Linked DNA regions of Caenorhabditis elegans. The protein of the gene in region 2 interacts with the protein of the main gene of each other region in a biochemical or structural test. Each region holds a gene or a part of one and is shown on either strand. Other genes may lie near its edges.

What was found. Proteins that work in one complex are often made in the same cells at the same time.
Region 1: of the proteins of air-2 (region 2) and gei-17, one has a biochemical effect on the other in vitro, tested with the Caenorhabditis elegans proteins (2 studies listed by BioGRID).

What each region holds. Positions count from the first base shown.
Region 1 is NC_003279.8:9,100,088-9,110,256, forward strand, and holds gei-17 (E3 SUMO-protein ligase gei-17), read right to left. Parts: upstream 7,496-10,169; 5' UTR 7,453-7,495; coding exon 7,381-7,452; intron 7,256-7,380; coding exon 7,220-7,255; intron 7,138-7,219; coding exon 7,024-7,137; intron 6,945-7,023; coding exon 6,915-6,944; exon of another isoform or gene 6,901-6,914; intron 6,611-6,900; exon of another isoform or gene 6,513-6,610; intron 6,233-6,512; exon of another isoform or gene 6,020-6,232; intron 5,974-6,019; coding exon 5,608-5,973; intron 4,938-5,607; coding exon 4,812-4,937; intron 4,756-4,811; coding exon 4,661-4,755; intron 4,616-4,660; coding exon 4,519-4,615; intron 4,435-4,518; coding exon 3,962-4,434; intron 3,226-3,961; coding exon 2,912-3,225; intron 2,811-2,911; coding exon 2,554-2,810; intron 2,316-2,553; coding exon 2,178-2,315; intron 1,917-2,177; coding exon 1,751-1,916; intron 1,586-1,750; coding exon of another isoform or gene 1,443-1,585; exon of another isoform or gene 1,236-1,442; intron 1,147-1,235; coding exon 1,088-1,146; 3' UTR 759-1,087; downstream 1-758. Other genes in the region: nduf-7 (putative NADH dehydrogenase [ubiquinone] iron-sulfur protein 7, mitochondrial), read right to left, coding at 8,351-8,428, 9,320-9,535, 9,824-10,023. UniProt on the Caenorhabditis elegans protein: Functions as an E3-type smo-1 ligase. Mediates smo-1 conjugation to air-2 in vitro and is required for proper chromosome alignment.
Region 2 is NC_003279.8:5,935,732-5,941,616, reverse strand, and holds air-2 (Aurora/IPL1-related protein kinase 2), read right to left. Parts: upstream 4,141-5,885; 5' UTR 4,134-4,140; coding exon 4,066-4,133; intron 4,017-4,065; coding exon 3,908-4,016; intron 3,832-3,907; coding exon 3,464-3,831; intron 3,401-3,463; coding exon 3,127-3,400; intron 3,027-3,126; coding exon 2,928-3,026; 3' UTR 2,741-2,927; downstream 1-2,740. Other genes in the region: B0207.6 (GPN-loop GTPase 2), read left to right, coding at 4,673-4,831, 4,949-5,056, 5,214-5,412, 5,740-5,885. UniProt on the Caenorhabditis elegans protein: Serine/threonine-protein kinase component of the chromosomal passenger complex (CPC), a complex that acts as a key regulator of chromosome segregation and cytokinesis.

The DNA.
Region 1 (10,169 bases), 3.2 Mb from region 2:
TGTCTGTCACTATTGTTTAATTAAGAGATGAGACGACGCTCCTTTTTGCAACTATTTGTAATTCATTCCGGAGTTCGCAGAATTTTACTATTTTGAAAATATTTTTGTGCAATTTCCGACCCAGAAATACGGTACGCGGTCTGCCCGTGTTCAAGGATTACTGTAGTCTCTCGCTCCACATGTTTTTCTCGTTTACTTGAATTTCCCCCATTTTCCTCACGTTTCGCCCTGTTGTCGAAGTGGAGTGCAACACTACAGTACTCTTTAAAGGTCTTCCCCGTGCATCTCATTTGGTATGCCGATCGTGTCGAGACCGTTTACCGTAATTTTGCATTAGAGCGTTGTTTTATTTCGAAATTTTTGTGATTCAAGACATAAAACTTCCTCTCCGACATTCCACGTATTGCTCCTCTTCTTTTTTTTTAAATTTATCTCTGCAAACGTGCTCAATTGTTAATTTTCGATGGAGCCCGTATGCATAAAGACAAAAATCCAAAAAATTTTGATATTTTCATGTTCTGAAGAAAAAAACATAAAATGCGGGTATTCTTCTCTCATTTTTTATTTGTTTTTATTTTTCCTATATTTATTTTATTTTTCATTCTTTCATTTTTGTCTCTCTCTCTTGTGATTTCTCCCTGTATTTTTCCCCCTAGTCTTCTCACTGATTCGGTAGTTTTTTCTCTCAAAAATGTTCCCATTTCGCCACCCCGGTCTAATTATTATAATTGATTATTTGTTCTTTAAAACAAATATGTATAAATAAATCGATTCATTGGAGAACAAATGCATCCATTTAAATGGAAAAAAATATGGTATCAGGAAAGCCGCATGGCCTAGATTCTTACAATTTCTAGGCCACTTGTGCATTTTCACGGCTGTGGAAAAACATCGGATGAAATGGATGGAAAACTAGAAACACGATTTGGGGGCTCGATTTGAAAATTAAAACATATTGAACAAAAATCACGGAGAGAAATGTGAGATATTTGATTGGGTCGGTTGAAGTTCCGAACATTAAATTAAAGCCAAATTAACTCAAAAAAAAAACAAAAGAATGAGATTAAGCAGTATGATTGGAAATCAATCAATTCTGACGATACTGCTGCTGCGGGTATTGTGGAGGATAATATGCAAATGCACCACCTGAAACTTTGAATATTGAAAATCTAATTTTTAAATAAAAATCTAAAATTAGTGGATTGTGTTTTTCAATTGTATTTAAAAGATTGCATACAGGATACTCAGCTTCATTTAACAAAAACATTACCGTCACAAAATTCTAGTTAAAGTTCATCGAATCAGCCGTATAATGCAGACAAATATAACTTACTAGACTAAAGCACAAGCAGGATTCTGTTAAAAATTGTAAATCGTGGATATGGGTAAAAGATGCACATAAATCAAATGAACTAGACGGCACAAAAAATACAATTCATGCATTAATTCCGTGAGCCACGTGGATTGCGCATAGTGACTCCTGAGTGATCGATCATCAGGTGTCCATTTACCAAAAGTCGAGATGCATTTGCTTGTATTTCAGCCATGGAAAGAATTCGTGGTGGTTGGATGTTATTGGTGTCACCTGAAAGTGAGGCCAAACCAAGTAAGGGAAATAAATATATATTTGCATGCAGGATGGTTGCAATTACACAACAAGTTTACTCGCTATTAACTGAAGATCGTGAAGTGATTGTTTTGATGTTTAAACATAATATACAAAAACTTTGTAAGGTGTACAAAAAATTACCGTTTGACATTTGCTGTTGAGCATAAAAAGACGGAGACATGATTTGTGGTGACTGCTGCTGCTGTTGTTGCTGCTGAAGATGGTGCTGCTGCATATGAACCATTTGATTGTTTCGCCCTATGAGCCCGTTTTGCATTTGGAAGTGTGGTGCCTGGTTTATCATTGGCTGAAAACGAGAGTTCAATTTTTAAAAAATTTTGAAAAATATTTGTTAAGTTTATAATTCCAGACGTAAAACTAGTGCATTTTTTTCAATTCGACAGAATTCTAGTGCAGTGGACAATCATCTAAGTATCTTATCCAATTAATAGGGGCTTGAACAAAGAAAAAAAAGAGATTAAAACAGGATTTTTTTGTTCTGTCGTTATGAAAAAATATCACTAGAGTATTAGTGCGTGTGGTAGACTATTAACACGTGCTGGCATACCGAATATCCGTATTGTGATGTAGGTGTTTGAGATCCTGAAGAGGGATTCATATAAGATGATTGAGCAAAATTCAATGGATGTGTCGTATGGTGAAGTTGAACAAGCGGAGATGATTGTGTTGATGAATTTGCTGACTGCTGCAACAAACAGACAGTTTAGTGAGTGTGGACAGGGAGAAGCAGATGTTAGTTTAACAATATCATATAATAATATAATCAAATATATAATTCAATCTTTGTATTAGTTTTGGTTAAAAACGGATAAGTTATAACTAGAATACTGATTTCAGTCAAATTAAGAACAAATCCTCTTAAAACTATGGAAAATAACTAACAATATTGGCTCTTTTGAAGATTTGTGTTTTTCTGAACTTACTTCTCCTATTTTGTTCAGCGCATCCCGGATAGTTTTACTTGCACCCTCGTTCATTCCCATTTGCGTTGAGGCCATTCCAGATGGAGATGAGCCAACTGGCATTTGATTCTGTTGAGACATCTGACGCATTGGAAGATTTGCACTTGCAGCTACTGGACGAGGTGGTGTATCATCGAGAGTAATAATCTCTATGTCATCGTCTTTCGTCTTCTTTTTCTGCTGTGGTGGTGTCTTTTGAGCAGCCAATTCTGCGGAAGCTGAAATAAGATTTGAATTTCAAGTGAATACTTTTAATTGATATTGCTAGAAACTGCAATATTCTCAGCTTGTCTCACACCACGCCATTTGAATAGCAAACCTGTGTGTCTGCCAGGAGAGAAGCTGTCGTTCAGAGAGTTCATTATACCTCTGTTCAATTCCTCATCATCGTCATCACTCAAGGTAATTATGTCGTCGTCAGCTGGTTTTTTCTTCGCTGCTTCATTTGCAAGTCCATTGCCATTTGTCGAAGAGCATGACGCTGTACCGTTAACAGTAGCAGGTACAACGTCATCGTCGTCATCATCTGAGATGCAAAAAGCTTCTTCCTTGATAACATCGTACGAGCCATCTTCCTTAAGTTCAACTTCCGTCGTATTCTTATCCACCTTTGCAAGCATATCGAGGAAATAACTGAAAGATGAAACAATATTTGCATAGTCTCAGAACATTGCTTTTTATTTTGATATTTGAATATTTCTTAAATAAAATGTTGAATTGGGTAACGTCTAAGCAGTTTCTCAGGCATTTCCGTGACTAAAAAGTATTTTCCAATTAAGAAAACGAGCGAATAGTGCGAACAGACAGCTTCACACAAAACTGCATGAAGTTAGCCATCGAATTTGTTGTTTGTCCATGATGCACTGTTCACAATATGAATCTGGATCATGGTAAACATAAGAGTGAGAACACTATTTGGATTATTAATTGATTGAGAATTATTTACAGGGATTTTGAATTTCTGAATAATAATAATTTTCAATTACACATTAAAACTCTTGCTCAATTATGATGATTGACCTTTGCCATTTGTTTCATGTTCTCTTACGTCATGAGCTGAATTTTGAGTTGGAGACCAATACGAACTACTGATAATAATCGTAGACTATATTTGCAAATACATGCCTATTTTAGACGACGCGTTTCCGAATTTCCTAATCACCGTTTCATCATGGCTATTTTAAGGGTGTTGTCCATCGCTATAGATAACAATTGTGTTTGGAAAAATAATAGTGTCTTCACAAGAATTGGAAATTTCGAAGTGAGGGAACGGTATCTAAGAGTTAATAGAAAAATAATGAAAACATAGAATTGAGATAATTCGCTTTTTTTTAAAATCAAAGTTAGTCAGTGTGAATTGAAAACTTACTCATCAACAATAAGTCTATCATATGGGCAGTTACTCGAGCAAACAGGGCACTGCCACGTTGGTTTCTTCTCGTTCATCATCAAATATGAGAGGAGATCAAAACATTGCAAATGGGTACAATCTTGGCATCTAGAAGGCGTTGTCATTCTTGTCTTGCACAGTGGATCAAGAAGACTGATATTAAGACGATCCATAGCAATATCATCTTCACCTCCAGACAGTTTCTTGATCACTTCTTGCTTGGTAACCTCAAGTGATCGATGTCTTGATACATTCTGATTAAGACGTTTAAAGAGAATATCCGAGTTAACACGATGAACGAAATAAACTCCAGCTGCCCATACACGTTTGTCGGCTAACCATTCGACTGCAACTGTGTGCTCTTTCTTGTATCTATTCATGTTTGAAGTGATATTCACTGGACGAGATGGTCGTTTCGGCTCAGCATTTGTCTTATTTGTTGGGATTACATTCTGAAATTTGAAGAAATAGTAACTCCTAACAATAATTGATATTTTGAAATTAAATATATTTCGTGAACGTTTCAAATCTCATACCGGCAATTGAACGACAGAATCATCAACACGTGCGTAGCAATTGAGTGGAAAGTCGTCTTTTTGAGGACCCTGAACTGGTTCAGTAAGATTGAAGAACCTGAAAACAAGGATTTAAACCGATTTCAATGATAATAAAACGTACCTCAACTGCAATTCATATCGTGGAAGAGGTGTAACATCAGCTCGATACGAAATCTTGGAGATGTGCTCAGCAGTCAATAAGAACGGGAATTGTAACTGAAATTAGTAATTAATAGGTAACCGGCTTGGAGAGCGAGTAAATTGAGACCAACCTGTTTTGTTTGCTTCAAAGTTGGACTGTCTGATGAATGCAGCTCGACAGGCTTCAGCAAAACAGAAATAACATCGTAGAATGGAAGTGGAAGCGGTTCAAAATTATCAGCATACATTTTTTTCGGCTGAAAAAAAAATACATGGGTTAGACATGTGGGAATGTAAGAAAGAGACGCTGAAAGCAATTTTCAGGTGATAACATTGAACTCGTGTGAGCGAACTGTATAACACATGCCGCGCAATTTCTAATGATGCCTGCTTTTTGGTAGTAAAAAAACACTTTTACATGCTACTACGAACTAATTGGAAATAAAACTATTTGAAAATTGAGCACGGCAATATGAAGAAATGCCTAGAGAGGATTATCATATTAAGCTTTTCTTCATGAACATGCTCCTAAGAATGCCATACTGTAATATCTTAAAACCACACTTGTTCTAGTTTTTACGCCATTCGGAATCATGCAGAAAATTTCGTGATAACAGCGTGCAAATCTTGGAGCTTCGAATTTTTCTTTCTTTTTTTTGAATGCTACACGCAATTCAAAAAAGTGCATTCAATAAACGGTAGGACATTTGTTTGCATAATGTATCACGATTGAGGAATTTTCAAATAACCGCGACTGGCCAATATGATATATGTGCCCAGAAGAAGCTACCAGTGTAATTTTTTCAGGTAAATTTTCCGTTACGGTCATAAACCGAAAGTATATCTTCACATGCTTTCCGCCTCGATATTCTTGCGTTCATTCTTATCGTGAATTTCAGGCAATAAAAATGCGGCGAAAATGTTCACCCTATTTGATTTTTCCGACTTCTGCAAACTTTGCTGAGAAGAACGTCCATGATTAGGAAAAGATGAATGGAGCGGCGCGTTGGTAGCAGCAGCAGCAGCGGGAGCGCCGTATCTCATCGAGCCCCTCAGTTGCTCTTCGAGCAGTTCAGGAGTTAGCCATCTCACCGTCGACGGATGGTGCTGCTGTTGCAGATGTGAATGATGTGACGCCATCATTTGTTGATGAAGTAGATTGTGAGGCTGTGGTTGTTGTTGTTGTTGCTGCTGATAATGATGATTGACCAAGTGATTACTAGCTCCAGATCGAGATGGCAGCACATATGGATGAGACCGAACTTGGGATGTTGTTGCAGGTCGCTTCTGCATCTGACATTTTTTAATTTAGTTATTAAAACAGAAACGATTTACAAACAATTTTTTAGGCTCTAACTTTAAATATGTGGAATATTTTAGACAATTAGAACATTTGCAAAAATACATTTGGGAATAAAAAACAAAGCGGAAGAGATTTTTTGAACGTTTGTTTCTCAATAGAGCGCACATGTCATCAGGAGAGGTGCTTGCGAAGAAATGATATATATTGATAAACCTAGCCGTTTTTTTGGAGTTTTGATAACAGGACTTTCTTAAAATTTAGTAAAATTTCAATAATAAGCCAACTAAAAATTCGATTGATTTAAATAGTTACGCGCATTCGAATCAACTGTTGTGAAATAACAACAAAAAAAAAAACGATTCCCAGTTTCTCACGAGCGACATCGTGCCAATTCGCTTCCATATCGATTTTTCAAAGTGAAACAATTATTAAAAAACTCAAATACCTCTTTAGGAGTGAAAATTTGAATTTGATTTTCAAAAAAGTGTGACAGTATTCAAAAGAATCAATCTAGTAAAATAAAAATTGTAATGAAAAACTACGCGCCAAGCTACACGTATGAAACATGGAAAGAAGGTCAGGGCAAAGTACAACTAAGAAATTTTCGAAGATCCACTGCTTTTGAGGTTTTTAACACCTTATTACGGGCGAAAGTCCCGTTGCCGGAGCTGCGAGGAAGCAAGTGCAGAATGGATGAAATATTTGAGGAAACTTAGAGAAACAAAGGGCTACATATATGGTGGGTATGAGGATGCTAGTGGAGATAAATGCGAGACTTATTGTGTGAGTAAAGAGACAATACTAGGTGAATGAATAATTTCCTCCGAGGTAGAACACTGGTAAACGTTACCCAAAGTACCTCACACATCTATTTAATCAAAGTTGACATAGTTTTTTTTTAACTGAAAGTATTTAACTTTTTCATACTTACCTCATAATTTCCGTTCGGGAAATTGGAAGCCTGTAAACTCGAGAAAATTAATGCTGTAAAACATCATTTAAAAAAAAACATAAATAAAATAACGAGAAAAACAAATGACCATTTGATAAATTTGCCGAGCATGATGAGGATCACGCAAGGATTCAACGACGACCTTCTGATGCTCCGATTTTTGTGGACGTGGCTTTCGAAGTGACAATTGCGAGATAATCGACTGAAATTCATAAATTCTTGATTCACATCGCCTTCTCGTTGAGGTATTGAACAATAAAGATTGATTAAAAACGGTATCTAACCTGAAGATCGTGTACTCTCAATTTCATGACGGCTGCCTGAAAATTTGGAATCCATCAGTTTTACTTTTTGAAAAATAACAGATTGGAACAGAAAAATCCTTGGGTAAAATACAAGAATTTTAAACTATTTAATAAATGTCAATAATTTTCCAATAACTCACGTGTGCTGCCATATTTTCCTGATGTGTTAATCCATTGTTTATAGGTATTTGCCATTGATTATTCGGTAACATATTGATTTCAATACCTCCGATCCTCCGCTGTGTCTCGAAACGACGGAAAAATATAAAACTGCAGATTCGGAAAAGGGATATTAAGGCGAATTTGAATGGTCCAGTAGTGAAAATATCACAAACAAAAAGTAGAAAAATGTGATCTTTTCTATTCCCTAAAAAGCGTTTCGAAAAGCGCGGTTCCGTGTGGATTTCCCAATTTTGGAAGTTAATGGACCAAAATCGCGCAAAAAACACGGGCACACCTGATGAATCAGTTTTGCAAAATCCTGCAAAAAATATTTCAACGTACTCACGTTAACTCATTCAGGAAATCAATGAGATCAATGTGTACGATAGGTTTGTGCCCGTGACAAAGGATCAGCAATTTTCAGAAGAGGCGCCAGAAAATTTGTGTTTTTGAATTTGCGCAATACAATTTTCAATCCACACAGACTTTTTTTGTATTATTTTCAATCCAAAAACCAAATCCAAAAAAAAAAACTTGGCGGCGCTATAAAGTGCGTCGTGATCTCCTTTCAAATCACTATATAAAAATTCACAGACTTTGTGAAAATATGAATAAATAAATAAAAAGAGAACCACAAAGGGTCGGCGTTGTTAACCGTTCCAAAGAAAATGAGAGAAAAAAATAGAACTTTAAAAAAATGTTATCGACTTTTTTTCAACCAAAAAAAACATGAGGTAAAAATAGACACTATTCGAAAAAAAAAGTAAACCGCAGAAAAAAACGAACGAAACTATCGATATCAGATCTAGAAAAAAGAAAATGGAGAAAAGGTGGAGAAACACAAAAAATGAATGAAGTGGGGCTTACTCGTACAAAATGACCATTTTTCTGCGAATTTTTTCACAGTTCTCCAACTTTCTCGTACTTTCTTTTCGCCTCGTGTTCTGTTTAGCGTCTGTACCAAAGTTGAGCTTCTCGCTTACGCTTGATCTTCTTTTGAAGTTGGAGAACTCCGTATAGAAGAGCCTGGAATAATTTTTTATATTAAAATTATTTTCTTTATTAGACGAAACATATTTTCAGAAAAGACTGCAGGCTAGGAATATTTTTAAAGCTATTCAGATAATTTCACTAATTTAAAATGTATTAGAAATTCGCTGATACAGTCAGAATGTGATAAAGTATTTCGAAGAGCTAAAGATTTAAACAAAACACCAAGTTGTTGTTGCATTAGATACGGCAAAATATTCATTAGTGAATGCTTGAGAAACTAAGCAGAAATAGAGAAATAAAGACTCAATGGTATGCAAGAGAGCGTAGACAACACAAGACTTTCGCGCCAATTCGATCAATAATTGAGTACACATGCACCCACGTATTTTCGAAATATTTACAATCGGTCGTGGAGCGCGATTACATCATGCCGTCCTTAGCCCACCATTCTTAAATTGGGAAATTTTTTTCAAAAATCTTTTTCGGAAAAACCCGAAAAAAACAGTTTTGATAATGATGGGGTGTCGAGATTATAGTGAGGTACATATTATGACGTCATAGAATTATTAAAATTCATTTTTGAACATAGCAACACGCTTTTCTTGGAATATTTTCAGACATTAACTGAAACAAATTGTTACTCAATTAATGGAAAATGAGCCTGCACGAGATCTGGACACTCATTATCCTTAATTGAGCAGTCAGATTTTGAGTGCGTTTTTTGTGTAACAGGTGGACCAAATAAATATGGATAATGAGAGAAAATGAATTAGCTGTGGTGTGCTGATACGATAACGTGAGATCTAATACTGACATCAAGCCAGCCACTAAACAAACTCTAGACTCTCCAAAAAAGATTCAAAACTCAAGGTATTTTTGAAAATGAGGCAAACTTAAAAGCGATCATAAAAATTCGACACATACCTCAGCAGTTGGTGGGCATCCTGGTACATAAATGTCCACTGGAATCACACGATCACATCCACGAAGTACAGAATATGCGTAATGATAATATCCTCCTCCGTTTGCACATGATCCCATTGAAATAACCCATTTTGCTTCTGGCATTTGATCATATATGCGGCGAAGTGCAGGTGCCATTTTGTTGGTTACTGTACCGGCAACGAAAATCAAATCGGCCTGAAATATTTTGATAAATAGATAGAATAAATTTTGAAAACGCATACACTGAGAGACTGAAAACTAAATTTTGTCATGACAACGATATCATTTTTTTTCTTGTTGACCAGAGAATGATGCTATGGAGTTGATATTTAGGGGTGCGAGTTTTGAGAAATAATTGCCAAATTAATTCTAGAACTTGGAAAATATGAATTTTAAGACTACATTTTGTTGTTGATGGGAAAATTTCAACTCAAAAATTTAATTTTACACAATTTTTATTTCAAAATGATCAGTATAGCTAACCTGTCTGGGAGAGGCTCTGAAAACGACTCCGTACCGATCCATATCATATCTTGGCGCAGCGAAGTGCATCATTTCGACAGCACAACATGCGAGACCGAACGTCAGTGGCCAAATTGAACCTCTTTGAGCCAAATTCAGGACATCATCAAGACGAGCCAACGCGTACTCGGCTTTAGACGATGGATTCAGGAATGGAGTTCCTGAAATTACAAAATGATTTCAATTAAATAAAATAAAAGACATTCTGAGCTTAGAAGAATTTTGATCCGATGAAAGAGGGATTCCTAAAAATTTAATTAATTTTAGTTTTCCCGCATTTTTAAAAAATATTTTTTCTTGGTGTACT
Region 2 (5,885 bases):
TACAGCTTCGAAATACTCCCAAAAAATACTCCCAAAATCATGCAACTTTTAATGGGGAATATGCAGCAGAAATTCGAAAATTTACTTAAAAAATTTGAAGACCAGTATCATTTTTATTTTCTGAAAGTGCATAAAACACAACTCTGTTACTCTCCGTGAGTAATTCCACCTATTTTCAAGCCACCATTCTGTATCTCATTCTCGTTTTCTCTACATCCAATTGGCAATTTTCCAATTTCTTTGCGTCACTCAATTATGTTCTCGCCAAATGGAGACATAGAGGGGTGTTGTGTTTTTGGGATTGGAAACAGAAATATTCTGAAAAATGAGAGAAAGATGTGAAAGAAAAATTGGAAAGAAATTGCGAGATTTATAGAACGATCAGAAAAGTTAGTGTGAAGTGTTTAAAGAAACAAACATTGTTTATAGTATGGATAAGGCTACAAGTTAATTTATAGGAAATGTATATAATAATTGCAACTTGTATGAACCAAAAATCCAAACTCTGAGTTTTTGTGATTTGATTTTCAATTGAATTGTAATTTTTTAGAAAAAGTTTTATGAGAAAAGTGAGATATCTAAAGTGATAAATGTTTTTGATAGACCTCTACTCAAATATGGATCAGCGTAGAAATCAATTTCAAAACAAAAAATCTGCCCTACAAAAAGTATTATTGTGTTTTTCTAGAAATCATGGTCTTCAATAAATTTCGCTTTGGATTATTTCTACAGACTTTGAAATAAGCAAATATAAAAAGTAAAAAAAAACACCAAGGAAAGAAAACTCACCTTCGATTTTTTTCGCGGGCGTGTCATAAAAACTCTGTTTTGTAACCGTAATCCAATTATTATTCGGAAATAAAAAAATTCTCGGCAGTTCAGAATAGGCAAACAAAGTAAAAAATTGATTTTTTAAAAAAAAGTTTTTAATGAAAAATAACTTTTAAAAGTTTCAATTCAGCCAAAGTTGGTACATGCCTATTTGTTGAAATAATAAAAATTGAAAAAAAAATCTTATTGTTAATAGAAAAAAAAAAATATTGCACCTGTTAAATGAAAAGAAGCGGAGAAATATGAAAGCGAGATGAATGTCTTAACTAGACAAGGAAAACGACAAAATATGCTGATATGTGGTGTGAGTATTCTTTGGAGCGGAAGGAAGAAAAGAAGAAGAAGACGAAGAGAGGAATAAAAATTAAAAGTTCAAATAATCATTTACTCGAAGATAGTTATTATTTCGTACATCTTGTATAATGAGAAAAAAGAAAAGTACAAAAAAATTCAGAAAATGAAACACCAAAAAAAAAGGCAAGATATGGGAGGAGCATATTTTAAGAAAATACTTATTATCAAAATTGTTTTTCTAACAATTGTGTGATGCATGTATTAGACTCCGCCCATATCTTGGTTATGTATCGTGTTTTTGCATGTTCGTACTTGACTTCTACATAGTTCCAAATACGAATAAACGCAGAAACCAACACATAAAAAAATCATTTTTTGTTGAAAATAACCGTGACTCAAGAAGTTTCAGGTAAGAAGAGTGTTAGGAGATCGATGATTGTCGATTCGGCAGCAGCTGATTTTTCAATATCCGCATTCGAAAAAAAGTGAGACGTCACTACTTGGACTATTTTTAATTGATTATTCAGTTAGCTAAGTACGTCGAAATTTCAGGTTCATTAATTGAAAAATCATAAGGTTCACAAACATTGGAATCAGAGTGCTCCGCCAGTCATACTTTTGGCTATTTTCGTCGATTACCCTAGTTTAATAGAATTTTCGAATTTTTGGCTATTTTTGGCTATATTTTGCTATAATAAAATGAACAACAAAATTTCACGAAAAAATGATTGAAAACGAGTGAAATCAACGAAACTGAATGAAAATTTTGGAAAAATAATACATTTACGTATTTTCCGCAAATACCTAACGAGACCCAAATTATCGGGGCGGAGTCTTTCTATTTGGCGTTGGAGCGCGATTGCATTCTGATTTCAAAAGATGCGTTATTCACAAGTGAAAAATGAAACTTTAATTTTCTTAATCAGACAAAAAATGTGAGATTTTTGAAGAAATCGGAGAAAACGGTTCAGCAATTAGCATGAGTTCTCAAATAAAAATGTGTTCTCAGAAATCTCGAAAGAAAATAAAAAAATTAGAAAATTCTAGTTGTATAACTAAATTATAGCCAAAGTACCACATCATCGAAACCTATAATTACACCGCCCGCGCTTAATCGGTAAAAGTTCCCTGTAATTTAAAAATTTAATTTAATTTTTTGTTGTCCAGAATGACATCTTGTGAAATATGCTTTGTTTGAGAAAAACAACTTTTTGAAAATGTCCCCGCACCACTTACTGAAAAAATTATAAGTTTTCGAGGACTTAAAAAGGGCACAAGAAGTGCTTGAAATTGTTGGAGCACGTGAATTTCAAAAACCTCATGTTTTGAAATTTCAAGTGTACTCAGTACTAAGCTTAGTTGTTATTTTTCCTTTTGGGACTATAAAGTCGCACGGTGTGATAAAATAATCCTAAAGAAAATCGAAATTTTCTTGTCGCTTTTAAATTTTATTTTTTTTTTTTTCTCAAAAATCTAAAAATGCAAATGAACCTCAACGAAAAGAAGCAGCTGCTCCGAGTGCGAGTCTACGCGACATCTGAAAAAGGAGAAAATCTCGGGAGGTACTAATTGAGTTGTTGTAGATATATTGAGAAAGATGGAGAACGAGAAAAGAAAATAAATTTATGTTGAATGAATGGGGTTAGACGATTGGGAATAATAGAGTTCGCGAAACAAAAACTACATGAAAAATTGGTTGACAAGTTATTTCACTTTTTAAAATTTCTAGTAAATGTGATGAGATCCTTTATTTGACAGACAGACGAGATGATTGAAAGAAGGACGGGAAAATCAGTAGTTGATCAGTGATTCCGAAGACTTGCTTCTTTTTCAATCTTTTGCTGCTTCTCAGCTCTAATTTTTGCCTCCATCATTCCCTGGATCCAGTAGTGTTCCTTCACCTGTAATAATTTAATGAATTATGATAATTAAGAACACTACAAAAGTGTACTTCTGTGTGCTGATAATATGTTGGCCACTAAGCTGAAATCAATAACAAACCTGTTCAAGCGTACAGCGAGCCTTGGGATCAACGACAAGCAATCTTCCAATCAAATCTCGTGCACCCTTCTTCACAGAATCAGGGTAAGTAAACCGTGCCGCTTTGATTGCCGCATATGTCTTGGACTGATCTTCGTGCTCGAATGGGGGTTTTCCAACGAGAAACTCATAGCAGAGAACGCCGATTGCCCATAAGTCAACTGCGTCACTGTGATCGGCTCCATTCACCATTTCAGGAGGGAGATAGTCCATTGTTCCGCACATTGTTTGGCGCCTGAAAACATGACAGTGAATTTTTGGAAACATCTAGATTTCCTAAATTTGAGGATAAACTCACTTATTCGAAGGAGCATGAACACTCCATCCAAAATCTCCAATTTTCAATTCTCCTTGTGATCCGATAAGCAAATTCTCCGGTTTAATGTCGCGATGAATCACATTTTTCCTGTGGCAATATGACAAAGCATCTGCGATCTCATACATATATTTTGCAGCTGTTGGCTCTGAGAATCTCTTGCTCACTGTCAATTGCTTGTACATTTCGCCTCCGGGGGCATATTCCAAAACGAGATAGATCTTCTTCGCATCCCAAAAATATGTGTAGAGCTTGATAATATTCGGGTGATTCAAATGAGATTGAATCTCAATTTCACGCTCCAATTGATGCTCGACGCCTCCTGAGATGAGTTGCGATTTGAATAGAACCTGAAAATATGTATGGGTAAAACGGATGTCAGAAAAATGATAATTCAAATAAATACAAAATAAATCAATATGTTACCTTGATCGCTACATGGAAATGTCCAGTTTTTGTGCGAGCCAGGTAAACACTGCCGAATTTTCCTTTTCCCAGTGGTCTTCCGATCTCGAAATCGTTAATAGTAAATTTTCTGTAAAATCAAGAATAATTTATAAACTTTTAAAACCTTGATTTCTTACCCTCCCTTCTGTGGAGTATTCACAGTTTCCTTCTCTGGAAGGTTGATTACAGGTGGCTTATTCTCCATGTCGGAACTGAAAAGTTTTTTATGAAGAAATAAAATAGACGGCACGATTAAGGACAAATTAACTAAAAGAAAACATCACGATAAATTTATAAATTGAATTAATTAGAAGTTCAATGGCCCAATTTTTAATTGAATACATTTAGATATTTATGTAGAATAAAAATAGGACTAATTCTGCTTTGATTTCAAAAAAAAGTGAGAAATCAACACATTACCTGAGTAAATATGTTTACAAAAAACGAGTTTTGATTGCAAATAATTCTAAAGAAACTAAAAATTGTCAGCTGGATAGTAAGGAGAAATGCAAGCCGTTTAAATAAAAAATTAACGCGGCAAAATGCAATGGTCCGCAATATGTCGTCATGTACGGTGTAAATGCGTACTTGGCCCTGTGCCAGGCCCGTTTATCCTGCTTTTTTGTTTGTTTTAAATTAAATTAAATTGTATTTATATATTTTTGTTCTTCTTAAATGTTTTCCTATCAAAACAATCCGTAGAAAATTAAGATTCAACTAGAAAATTTCAGTACTCATTGGACTATGTACGGAGTTCTTGTAATTGGAGCTCCTGGAGCTGGAAAATCTACATTTTGTGCAGGATTAACGGACATTTTCTCACAAACCAAACGACCATTTCTCACTATCAATCTTGATCCTGCTAATGACACAATGGCATACGCACCTGATGTAAATATCACTGTAAGTATTTTATTCCAATGAATATAGGACAATAATTATGAAACGTGGTACAGATCATCTATCAATGTTATTTTAATACTTAAGGTCATATTTTTCATTTAAAATACTAAAGTTTAGGAAATGATCACTGTGAATGATGTAATGGATCGACTTGGACTTGGACCAAATGGAGCTCTCAAATACTGTATTGAAACACTTGGAGCTAATTGTAATTGGCTCCTCCAGGTAATTTTTTTGGCAGAAAAAGTTAATTCTCAAAAGCTAAAAATTGTTTTCACAACAATTGAGCTAAAATCTGGAATTCTCTAAATTTGAATCGAGAAAATCGGAAATCATTTTTAACCTCTTTGTAGTTTTAATATTCAATTAAATCTTTTTTCAGAAAATCGAAGCGAATCACAAGAAATATCTGATAATTGATTGTCCCGGACAGTTGGAACTATACAAAAGCGAAGGCGAACTATGGAAAGTTATCCGCTTTTTGGAAAAATCCGGTGTTAGACTATGTGCCTTACATCTTGCCGATTCACTTTACTGCAGTGACCCATCGAAATTCATTTCTGTTGCATTATCCACATTAGGTAAGAGTTCATTAAGATTAAAAAAAAATTGAAATACTTTTCTTGTCTCTCGACCCGAAATTTCCAAATATAATTCAGCTGATTTCCTCCAAAAAATGAAAATTTATTTTTGTTCTGTACAATTTTGAAACTCCATGGGCCTTTATGTATTTCTGGCTAAGAAATGCAATATCTTTCTGGCACATAAAACTTTCATTTAATCTGAAACCTATTTTTGTTATTTATTTGATTTTAGATGGAAAAAATTGAAATTCGGAACCACTTTAAATTTTGTGTGGCTGAAAGGAACAAATTAAAATTATATTCATTAAAAAGCTTCAATTTCAGCGACAATGGTAACAATGGAGATGCCACAAGTAAACTGTCTGTCAAAAGCAGATCTTTTCTCTGAAGACGGGACCTATGATCTCGAGTTTTTCTCCCATTTACCTGATGTCAATCGACTTTTGGATCTTTTGAATGAAGTTCCCGGA